Oryctolagus cuniculus: one gene and its partners. The protein of the gene in region 1 purifies or fractionates together with the protein of each later gene. This does not show direct contact. Links are inferred from orthologs where the notes say so. Each region holds a gene or a part of one and is shown on either strand. Other genes may lie near its edges.

Region 1 (3,749 bases):
TTATAGATAATGTTTCCTATTTGTTTAAATTAATATTGATTTTCTTGAAGAATACACTGAGATGATATATGGCAAAATTCAGTGTTTCATTTGTAAACTTGTATGTGTCTGTCTAGAAATTCTTCTAATTTGATTACATTATTATTCCTATTGTATTTATTGATTAGTTGGCAGGAAATCTAAAATAAGATTTTTGTTTTAGAACTTTTAAAGATCTTTATTTTCTCTTTTCCTTTTTTCTGTTATTTGGAGCTTTCAAAAATAGCACACAAATTTCTCATCCTTTAATTAATGTCAAAAGTCAGGTACTCTAAATCTTTATTAAATGTCAAAAATTACTTTTCTTCCTGCAAATTAAAGATGGCAAGTTTTATTTACCTTTTATAAAAGGATATATTTCTGAGTGAGACCAGTAAATCAGAGGATCAAATAAGCAGTAGTCTTTCAAATTAACATTTTAAAATTAACTTGTCTTAGTCAACTAGAAGGAACTTTTTTCTCTCTCTGTTGAAATTTCTTGCTATGGCTGATATATGATTATAATTTGTAATTACCTTATATAACTTCAAATTTTCTACTTTGTACCTCTTTTCAAATTTTAGAGTGTTCTAAAATTCACTCCTAGAAGTTAGAAACATGTTAGTAGATTTTAAGCTCGATAAGCAATACCAACATACTTAGTTTCTGTAGTTTCTATATAAATTAAGGTTAAGTCAATACATTAGCAACATTCATTTCTTTTTAAAATGCTTTTCAGATTTTTCTTAATTATAACATATGTGTTATACATTTTTGTAAGAATTTTGTCATATCCATTCTATACCAGATTTTTATCGAAAGTTATCCAATTATAAAGACTCATAAAATCTGTATATTAGTGATTTCTTGGAAAAACTAGTCTACCATTTTAACATGTTACATTTGGAAGGTTTAGCCTTCAGTTGTTTGCAGGGTTATACTAATGTTTCTTTTTAAAAAATTTTCAGTCTACTCTATATTTATTCTCCTCAAAACCTATACTTAATATTAAAACACTCAAACATAGAGCCTTTAGCAAATATTGCAATTTTTAAAAATCCCCATCTCTAGTTGAGATGAAAAGGTTTGGCTAAGAAAAGCTCAGTAATGTGCTGTTTTATATTAACAGGAAACAGAACAGCAGTAGTGGTTTGAATACCCTGCAAACAGGAAGTTTGACACATGCATAGCTCTTAGCTTCTGTGTAAGAAGTTGTTGGACTCCTTCTGAAAGTATTTTCAGTTAATTTAAGAAAAGTGTAAATGTACATGAATGGCAGCTTATAGAGAACTACCGTGTAACCAGTATACAGGTACAACTACTGCTCTTCAGAAATTGGAAGGATTTGCTAGCCGTTTATTTCATAGACACTCTAAAGGTACTGCACATGATCAGAAAACAGCCCTGGAAAATGACAGCCTTCATTTCTCTGAACATACTGCCTTATGGGACAGATCAAGTAAGTTTTTTGTCTTCTAAATGATACATTATAACTAGCAGCTAAAATACTAATTGGAGTTTTAGAATCAAACATAAAGAACTGGTTTTGTTTGTCTTTTATAATTTGCACAAGGGCATTTTGCAAGATGAAGTTGAAAGCATTTCACTAAAACTTGATTGTAAGTTGAGCAGAATCATTGTTCATTGTTTCGTTTTATGTATGGTTATTTAAGTTGAATATCAGTTAGAAAATCTTCTATAAAACCCTCACATCCTTTCTAGTGTATGTTATTGTTTTTGATTTTTTATTGTATTTTAAAATTAAAAACCTAGAGTTTAGATACAATGACTTGTTTACTTTTTCAAATTGCTTATATTTATAAGATTTAAACTTTAAAAGAGGCAAGAAGTCTCATGAATTGCAGTTAAATTTCTATTGTGGTTCCTGTCTTATTTTTAAATGTATGTGTGAAAGTCATTTCAGTTTTTAGTAGGATTTCCTAGAGTAAAAGCAAAGTATGATTATTCTATGTAAAAACCTTGTATTTATAACCATGGATATCTAAGCTTTCATAATTGTATTTTATGTTACTTGTAAATATGGCTAGAAAGGGAAACATTGTTTATGTATGCATTACTTTCTTTCTAGACATATTAAAATATTTGGAATAATTTCTTTGTTAAAATGGTGAGATAGGATCATTTTTGGTGACGTACACTTTAAAAGATAAGTTTCGCATATAAACAAGAGCAGTTTTTCCATCCCACATCTCACCTTGGACCCTCCCCAAAGTATTTTTGTCACTGTGATTACAGGGACAGTAGAATTACCCTTGGCACTGTTGCCATTTGTGGTGTTGGATCACCAAATAGCAGTAAGGCTTGCCACTTCTGTTCATATACTCCAACACAGTTAAGGAAGAAAACTTAGCTGTAAAAACACCAAAGTAAGAACAGTCTACAAAATTTGCTCCTTGGTTTAAACAGCACATTGACCATTCTACAGAAACGTATATGAATTATTTTTTACTACATCATGATTTGTTTTTACATTCTTCAAGCTAAATTTAAGGGAGAAGATAAAAATGAACATACTTGGCGTAATTTTTTTTAACTCAAAAGGTTTTGACTTTTTATAGTTAGTCTTTATAGCAAATTGACAGATAAGGAATCAATCACATTTATTTTCAAGTTAATGAATTATTGAAGGCTGAAATTTTAGTAATACATTACTAAAATTTTGCGAGTATTTTGAAAGCTTGTTGTTTATTCCACTTGCCCTGTTCTGTACAGTTGCAGTTTCCCAAGCCCTCTCAGAAATCATTTCTATGCATTTCAAAGGTCTTTTAATTGAAAGTTAAATAAGGAATGAGGACAAAACTGAATTATATTCCCCAATACCTGTTACTCATGCTTGTATTGTGGTGTTTAGTGAATCTATTACAAATGAATAAATGTCACAAGGGATACCTGGATTGAGTTCCTGGCACCTGGCCTAGTCCTGGCTATGTAGACATTTAGAGAGTGAACCAGCAAATCAGACGTAATCATTCAGCAAATCATTCTTCAAACTACGTCTGTCTGTCTGTCTTTCACTCTCTCTGTCTCTTGGATAAAAAATGTTTTTATAAAAAAATAATGTTATGTTTAAGCTAGACTCTCACCATTTTTTAAATGTATGGGAACTTTGATGTGTTCTGAAATGCATTTTAAAAGTCTCCCAATGGAAAATAATATTATGAACCATGATTTTTTTTTCAAGAAAAACAGACTGAAAAGATGTTGACAGATTCTTTATTTTGAAATCAACAAGTAAGGCAATTAGAGTCATTGTACCAAATAAAATTAGGAACAGTGTAACCCTGTGAATAAAAAACAATGTACATGAAATACTTAAAAAGGTAACTGAATGTTCCTTAATTTTCCTCTGCCCATTTCTTCTTTTCCTGTCTCCAAAATGTAGCTGACACAACTTTATATGCAAGGATGAAAATAATAAGCATGGAGCTCTAGATTTTTATTATGGAATGTGCTAATGTAGTGGAGAGAACACTGATAGAATACAAGTAGAGGAATCTTACTGTTTCAAACTTCAAAGGTTTATTTTTGTGGCTAAAACAGAAATTTTCCTTCTTTTTTTTGTTGTTGACTATATGAAGTATTCATACAAACTACATTCTTCAAACTACGTAAAGCAGATTGCTTGCATAACTTGTTTGACAAGAAAAATGAATATAAACACTGTGAGTATGCTTGCCTCAAAAGTGGTATTTAAAGAGATCAACCAAACA
Region 2 (3,749 bases), on another chromosome or scaffold:
TGTATTCACTCTAGGAACGGAGGGTTGGCGAATGGGAGGGTGGTGAAGGGGGCAGGAGGAGGATTGCGGGGCCAGGTGAGTGGAAGAAACGGAAGAGTAATGATCAATTTATAGACGTGACCAGTCAACCCAGCAGTATTTATTCGGAGCAAAGCCCTGTGCTAGTCGTTTATTAATGCCACGGTGAGCAGGATCCATGAGGGGGTCCGTGCCTCCAAGGAGCCAGGAATATCAGGTGACCTAAGAAGCACGCAAGCCAACAAAACGCGTGCAGAGGACATCAAGGAAATTCGAGAAAAACGGCAACCGACATTAATTCGGGGCGATTCGGTAGGCCAGGGGCAGTCACAAAGATGACCACCCTTCCCCAATCCCAGGACAGGTAACGTGTGTCGTGTCAGGTGGTGCGCCCGGGCTGGGTCCCCGAGAGCACCGCTGCCAGAGGCCCCAGCGAGGCTGGATGGGAGTGCAGGTTCAGCAGGAGCCCTCCCGGGGGCGGGGGGCGAACAAAGACAGGAGCCGTGTGCGTGCAGGCGGAGGCGTGCGAGGTGGGCCTCGGAGGACCCGGCAGCCTGGGCGGGAACCGGCGTGGGCCAGGGGGCGGGACTGCGAGGCCAGGGAAGTCACCGCCGCAGTCGCCGCTCTCCCGGTTTCTGGCGTGGAGGAGTCCACCTAGGTTGAAAAGCCGGGGTCCGGCAAGTCTCTCCCGCCTGCTGGCCACTGTGGCTGCTCAGAGGTCCTTCATATCTGATGGCTTCGTGATTGGAAAAACCGCTCTGTTTGAAGAGCGCCGAGTCCCGCGCACCGTGGCGGCACTGCTGGCCGGCGGGCGGGCGGCCCTGGACACCGCTCCCGCCTCAGCCCCGCCGCCGCCGGGAGCCGCCGGGAGCCGCCGGGCCGCGGGAGGACGGCGCGGGCGGGGGCGGGGCCGCGGCGCACCTGCCCGGCGCGGCGGCTGCGCGGACCGACGTCCCCCCCCCCCCACGACGCCCGCCGAGTGTTTACGTGGAGACGAAGATGGCGGCGGCGGTGACGGCGCTGGCCGTGCGGCCCGGGACGAGCCGCCAGTGAGCGCGGAGGCTGCTCGCGCTCCGGGCGGGGCCGCGCCGCGCCGGGCCTGCTCGCTGGGCCGCGGAGCTCGCCGCCCCACCTCCGCCTGAACCGACCTTTCCTGTCTCCCCCAAACCCCGCCCGCTGCTCCGCCGCCTTCCCGCAGAGGCCATGGAGGACGAGGAGCGACAGAAGAAGCTGGAGGCCGGCAAAGCGAAGGTAGGAGAGGCGGAGGCAGCCGGGCCCGGGGAGGGAGGCGGCGGCTGGGCAGGGTGGGAGGGGGCCTGGGAGCGGAGCTGGCGGCGGCCGGCGCGCGCTGGCTGGCGGGGAGCGAGGTGCCGCGGCCCCGCGTTTCCCCCTCGCCCCTTGTTCCAGTAGGGGCGAAGCCCGGCGCCCCCTCCTCGCCGCCGATACTTGGGTGCTGAGTGAACGGCGTGGCTGCTTTCTCGTAAATGCCCAGGGCTGCCGTCAGCTGGTGTTTAATTGCTCCCGAATCTCAGCCTTTCACTTTCTTCAGGGGGTGTTCTGGGCGGTGCAGGCGTTGTGCTGCCCAGCGAGGAGATTCAGGGCTTCTCCTTTATTTGGGGGGGATTGGCGCGCGGCCGGCGGCTCGCCCGCCTCTCTGGCACGCTGGCACTCCGGGGCGTGTGTGATTGGCCTGTGACAGCTGCCTCGGCAGTGGCTCGAGTGTGCCACAAGTGCCAGCTGTGAACTTGGCTGCAGGGGCGTTGACAGAAGCGTGCCTTTGTATGTCTGTCTGCGGAGGTCTTTGTCGCGGCACCGAGGCTGTCTGCATGGAACTTCTGGGAACCCAGAGGTTCTGTGTTCCAAGTGACACCTACAGAATTCCTGCTTTGAGTAATGTCGTTGTCCTCTGTGTAGCTCCGGTGAGCCGCTGTTTCGTGTGTGTGCGCGCGCGCACGAAAAAGCCTGTAAAGCAAACAATACAAAATCATACACAGGTGTCATTCCTTGGGCTTCATGAAAAACTTGACACGAGATACATTTGAATAACCTATTTCTTTTAAACATTGCGTGTTAGACGTGTCTTCTGGTTGGCCCCAAAGGACCCCTTCTTCTTTACAACGAAATGACCTTTTGTAGGTTATCTGCTAATCTCTGTAGAGGTAATTGTCAGCAATCATACTTGGACTGCGGTTAAATGGTAGTGTAGTTAACTGTTTCTCCTCTCCGCCTTCCCTCCCCTCCCCCCACATAAACAAAGGAAACCGGGGCCCTGGCTGCAGTCCTCCGGGAAGGGCCACCTGCAGAGGTGCAGCAGGAGAGTGCTCATCCCAGGTGTGTCTGCCTGCGTGTGTAACGTAGCAATGCAGTGGGCTTTGCAGGAAGCTCCCTCCGCCCGAGGTCCAGGCTCACAGGTAGCCAGGTGGACTTTTAGAATCTGTACATGGAGGGAAGGGGAACAGGGCACCTTCCAGAGCCCCCAAATTGCTTACATTACACAAACCCCGTGTGTCCCTTGAGGGAGGTTAGCTGTGTGCTGGCTTCCAGAAGCACTGAAGTTCTAATCTGTCTGGCTTGGGAATTTTTACTGCTTGCCCCCAAAAATGTCTTTCCTAAAAACATGTGAAGCAGTCCCATGAAAGGTGATTTACTTTGGACAGACATATATCATGATAGAGGATTTAATTAAATAGTTGTAAGTAGTTGATTTGGCAAAATGGAGTTCTGTATGCTCTAGCGGTGTGTGTGTGTGTGTGTGTTTCAAAATTCTACCAATGGAGTAATGTTAATAGGTTAACTTGTATTTCAGAAGTTTATCTTCTTCTGGAGTTAAGCCTGCTTTTCCCAGTGAGAAATCTGTGAAACGTATAAGGCAGGATATGTTTGGGGCCACATTAGCTCTGCAATAAAAATACCGAAATAAGTCTTGAGAGATGATATGAAGAGACTGGCTTTCTAAGATGTATAAATGCAATGGAATAGTATGCAGCCATTAACGTTATGAAGACTAACAGCATGGAAGATAGAATGAAAATGGCATCATCAAAAATAGTCTATAAATTATTTCCTCTCTATATAAGCATGTGTTTTAGTTAGGACTGAAAAACATTGGGTTCTTTTTTTTTTTTTTTTTTTTTTTTGACAGGCAGAGTGGACAGTGAGAGAGAGACGGAGAGAAAGGTCTTCCTTTGCCGTTGGTTCACCCTCCAATGGCCGCCACAGCCGGCGTGCTGCGGCCGGCGCACTGCGCCTATCCGAAGGCAGGAGCCAGGTACTTATCCTGGTCTCCCATGGGGTGCAGGGCCCAAGCACTTGGGCCATCCTCCACTGCACTCCCTGGCCACAGCAGAGAACTGGCCTGGAAGAGGGTCAACCGGGACAGAATCCGGTGCCCCGACCGGGACTAGAACCCGGTGTGCCAGCGCCGCAAGGTGGAGGATTAGCCTAGTGAGCCACGGCGCCGGCCCAAAACATTGGGTTCTAAATGTAGTCATTCAGCACAAGCCATCTTGAACTCCCATGTTATGCCAGGGGCTGGAGATATAGAGGTGGTGACAATCTTTTTTCAAGTTAGATCACAGTGTACCCTAGAATGATACCTATCAGTGAATGCTAAATAAATGAAGAGCAGAATGACTAATGAGTTGTTAATGGGTGCAGCTTTACTAGTATGGTTATAGTTTAGTAACAATAGGGGCCAGCGCTGTGGCATAGTGGGTAAAGTCGCTGCCTGC
Region 3 (3,649 bases), on another chromosome or scaffold:
AGCTCTTATTCAGAGGCCTGCACTCCATGGGGAGGGGCAGGAATGGCAATGTACCTCCAACAAAGTCTCCCCACAGCCAAGATGATCCAAGGAAGAACCAGACATAGGAACTCAGCCTAGCTGTGTGCCCAGCTGTGTGTGTAGCTGGAAAAGCATTTCCGTCTAGACCCACTGCTCTGAAATGGGACACAGATTAGCCAGAACAAACCAAGGAAATACAGAACTCAGATGCCAGACCCTGACTTACATTCCTGAGTATAGATCTCAATGGAGAGACTCAAGGGACTCTCAGGCCAGTGACAGCCAGGTCTTCTAAGAAGTCTTTGCCTCAGGACGGTGCTCAGAGCATAAGGCTGTGTGTCACAGGGCCACACACCCCTACCCTGGGGCAACCATGGGTAAGAGTCCCCAGTGCACCCCTTGCAACTGCTCTGGGACATCAGGGATGAGGATCTGGGACATGGAGCTGGCTACACTGGGTCCTACCCCATCAAGGGAGCCCTTAATACAGATGCCTCTTGGACTCTGGTTCAGTCTTTACTGCTAAGTTGAACCAATTTTAAGTTTTCTGATAAAAACTAAATCCTTATGCTTCCAAAAGGGAAAAACCACAAAAAAATGCTATAATTTCAAAAGGTTCCCTGATGCCTTGAAGCCCACTGGGAGACCCAGGATAGGAACCTTGATGAGGGTGGGTGGAGAGATGTTCAAAACCCGCAGACAGGATGATAAAGGACAGGTGACAAAGGACAGGCTTAGGAGTCGGACTAGTTTTGGATCCCAGCTCCTGCTCCAATGTCACCTGGGCAAGTCACTGGATTGCAGAGGCTTAGTGTCCTCACATGCTAAATGGACATGACCCAAGCTACCACACAGGCTTGTTGGGCTGAGGATCTTTTAAAGAAACCAGTATATGCATCAAGTGTTTTTTGTATAACACAGAGTGGCCAACCTTAATTCCCAGAACAAGTAGTTACACCCATTTAACAGATTCTAAGTGGCAAGACTGAGATTTGAATCCATGCATCAAAACACTGCTCAACCAATGGAAACAGCAGCTTGGCCTGCTGGCCATTAGCTAGGTGGAGGAAACTCAGCCCAGCACCACTCCATAACATTGGCAAGAATTCAGGGATGCCCTGCCCACGATGGGTCTCAGAATAACTTCCTCCTCACCAAGAACAAGGACAAGACATGCAGCCCTCAAGGATTCCCCCATGGCCTGGCCAGAGCCTGAGATCCCCCCTGCCAGGCCCCAGGACAGCACTTACTTTCCACCGGGGTGGGCAGGGTAGGGATCCCAGGCTGAGAGTAGCAGAGGTACATCTGCTGGTCCAGACTGCGCAGTGCATGGAAAGTAGGGTGTGTGTGCTGCTGCACAAACAGGTGCCCCGCGTTGACCTGGTTGACCACGATGACCTCCACAGTGACACCATCAGGCAGCATGAGCTGTAAAGGGGAGGGGCAGCAGGCACTGTGACAACCTTTAAGCCCCGAGGCCCCAGGACAAGTCTCTGAATTGGCACATCCTTGAAAGGTAGAGCAACCCAAGACAACACAGCACCCAGATGGCAGCCACCATGAGCTAGTTAGCCAGAGGCCCACTGTCCTGCAATACCAAGAGTGGCCTTTAGGAGGAGTGTCACCCCAAGGCAGTGCAGGGAGGTTCTGGGCATCCAATAGCCCACTGTGAATGTGGTACTGGGCCTCACACAGGTCTCGATAGAATCTTTCTGCCAGAGGTTTCCCTCCCTCCCACCTCCTTGATGAGTCTCTAAGACTCAGGGAGGTAAACAGAATGAAGCAATGATGAGAACGAGGTGCCGGGGGATAAAAGGCAGCCAGCCCAGGCCCCTCAGGACCAGCAGCTGACCCTAGAAGCCCAGGGCCTGACAGTCTCTAGTCTGCATTCCTAATGACAGGTCCACTTTCAGGGTCTGAGTCCTAGTTGCTCTTTCTGCAGCTTCTTGTCTTCCCTACATTCCAGACATTCCTCAGCTCACTGTCACTTTGGGACTCAGCAGGCACATCCTATATTAAGGCCCTGGAGGAACCCCCACATCGTCTCTAAAAGCCTTATTCCTCAACAGCAGTTTTCCCCATGCCCAGCTACAGACAACATGTGGGGTGCTTGGGCCAACAGAGAGTCTGTTCTACCTTCCAGCCAGCTGTCTACAACAAGAGAAGCTCCCAGCAAAGAGTCCTGGCCTCCATGCTCCTCTGTCAGCTCAAGGCTCTGGAAGTGCATGTCTCGAGATGACCTCCACAGTGAGGGAGCAGGAAGGGAAGGAAGACTACACAAAACCCTTCGTTACTTAATATGAAGGTTTGAGCCAGGCCTCCTGGAAACAAAACTGTGACTTGAGAATAAAGCATGGAGCAAATACTCCCAGAAAGCAAAAAGGGTTCCCTATCCCTTCCCTACAGCACAAGGGTCTTCCTAGAGGAAGACAGAACTGCCATGTCTCAGCCTATACCAAACCCAGGGGAGGTCTTCTTGGAGCAGCAGGCCTAGCCCATTTTAGAGAACTGCAGGAAACAATCTTTGGCCCATAGAACGCTGCACTTCTCAGTGAGAGGGGCTGGACCGGGGCCAGATGAGATGACAGGCCCCAAACATCCCGCAGCACCAGCACGCAGGGGCCCTCAAGATGCAGGCCCCTGTTCCTGCCACGCTCCCAGGTCAACGCTATAGAGCGACCCAGCTTCTGGGCCTGAGGGAGAACTCTGAGGGTACTTCAAAAGGTTCTCAGCAACACAAAGAAAAATGATTATTTCATGCAGAAAAAAGTCTGAAGTCCATATTTAGTTCTTTTTCAATTAGCAATTTCACAAATGTTTGGAGATCCCTTACCTGTGTAGATTTAAACATTTTTGTACCAAACTTAAAATTTTTTCTTCCATTTATCTGAAAGGCAGAGCAATAGGAGTGAGAGATTTTCCATCAGCTGGTTCTCTCTCCAAATTCCCAAAACAGCCAGGGCTGTGCCAGTAGAAAGCCTGGAGCCAAACTATCTGTGACACCCTTGTGGGTGGCAGGGAAACAAATACTTAAGCCATCACCTGCTGCCCCTCAGGGTGCACACTGGCACAAAGCTGACCCCAAAGTGAAGACAGAACTCAAACTCTGATACTCTAGGGGGCCGGTGCTGTGGTGCAGTGGGTTAATCCTCTGCCTGAGGTGCCAACATCCCATATGGGTGCCAGTTCTAGTCCCAGCTGCTCTTCTTCCAATCCAGCTCTCGGCTGTGGCCTGGGAGGGCAGTGGAGGATGGCCCAAGTGCTTGGGCCCCTGCACCCGTTTGGGAGACCAGGAAGAAGCACCTGGCTCCTAGCTTTGGATCAGCACAACTCCAGCTGTTACGGCCATTTGGGGAGTGAACCAATGGAAGGAAGACCTTTCTCTGTCTTTCCCTCTCTGTCTGAACTCTGTCTCTCAAATAAATAAAAATCTTTAAACAAAAACAAAAACACAACTCAGGAGGCAGATCTCCAAAGAAGCTTAATAGCTGCACCACAACACTCATCCCTAAACTCATCTTTTACTTCCATTTTCCCATGAACTATTTGAAGTACCCTCTTATTTATGAAATATAATCTAATTAGCCAGGGAGAGGGAAGAACCAGGGCTACTACTAAACTCAACTAG

Evidence for each region.
Region 2: the proteins of PRKACB (region 1) and AKAP9 purify together in Homo sapiens (affinity purification with mass spectrometry; 5 studies listed by BioGRID and IntAct, counting the BioPlex papers as one, with this or other methods). This does not show direct contact. The link is inferred for Oryctolagus cuniculus from reciprocal best matches to the Homo sapiens genes PRKACB and AKAP9.
Region 3: the proteins of PRKACB (region 1) and AKAP1 purify together in Homo sapiens (affinity purification with mass spectrometry; 4 studies listed by BioGRID and IntAct, counting the BioPlex papers as one, with this or other methods). This does not show direct contact. The link is inferred for Oryctolagus cuniculus from reciprocal best matches to the Homo sapiens genes PRKACB and AKAP1.

Annotation. Positions count from the first base shown.
Region 1 is NC_091438.1:87,119,593-87,123,341, reverse strand, and holds the start of PRKACB (cAMP-dependent protein kinase catalytic subunit beta), read left to right. Parts: upstream 1-1,152; 5' UTR 1,153-1,290; coding exon 1,291-1,477; intron 1,478-3,749. UniProt on the Homo sapiens protein: Mediates cAMP-dependent signaling triggered by receptor binding to GPCRs.
Region 2 is NC_091447.1:43,775,744-43,779,492, reverse strand, and holds the start of AKAP9 (A-kinase anchor protein 9), read left to right. Parts: upstream 1-1,135; 5' UTR 1,136-1,221; coding exon 1,222-1,269; intron 1,270-3,749. UniProt on the Homo sapiens protein: Scaffolding protein that assembles several protein kinases and phosphatases on the centrosome and Golgi apparatus. Required to maintain the integrity of the Golgi apparatus. Required for microtubule nucleation at the cis-side of the Golgi apparatus.
Region 3 is NC_091448.1:32,671,227-32,674,875, reverse strand, and holds part of AKAP1 (A-kinase anchor protein 1, mitochondrial), read right to left. Parts: intron 1,450-3,649; coding exon 1,272-1,449; intron 1-1,271.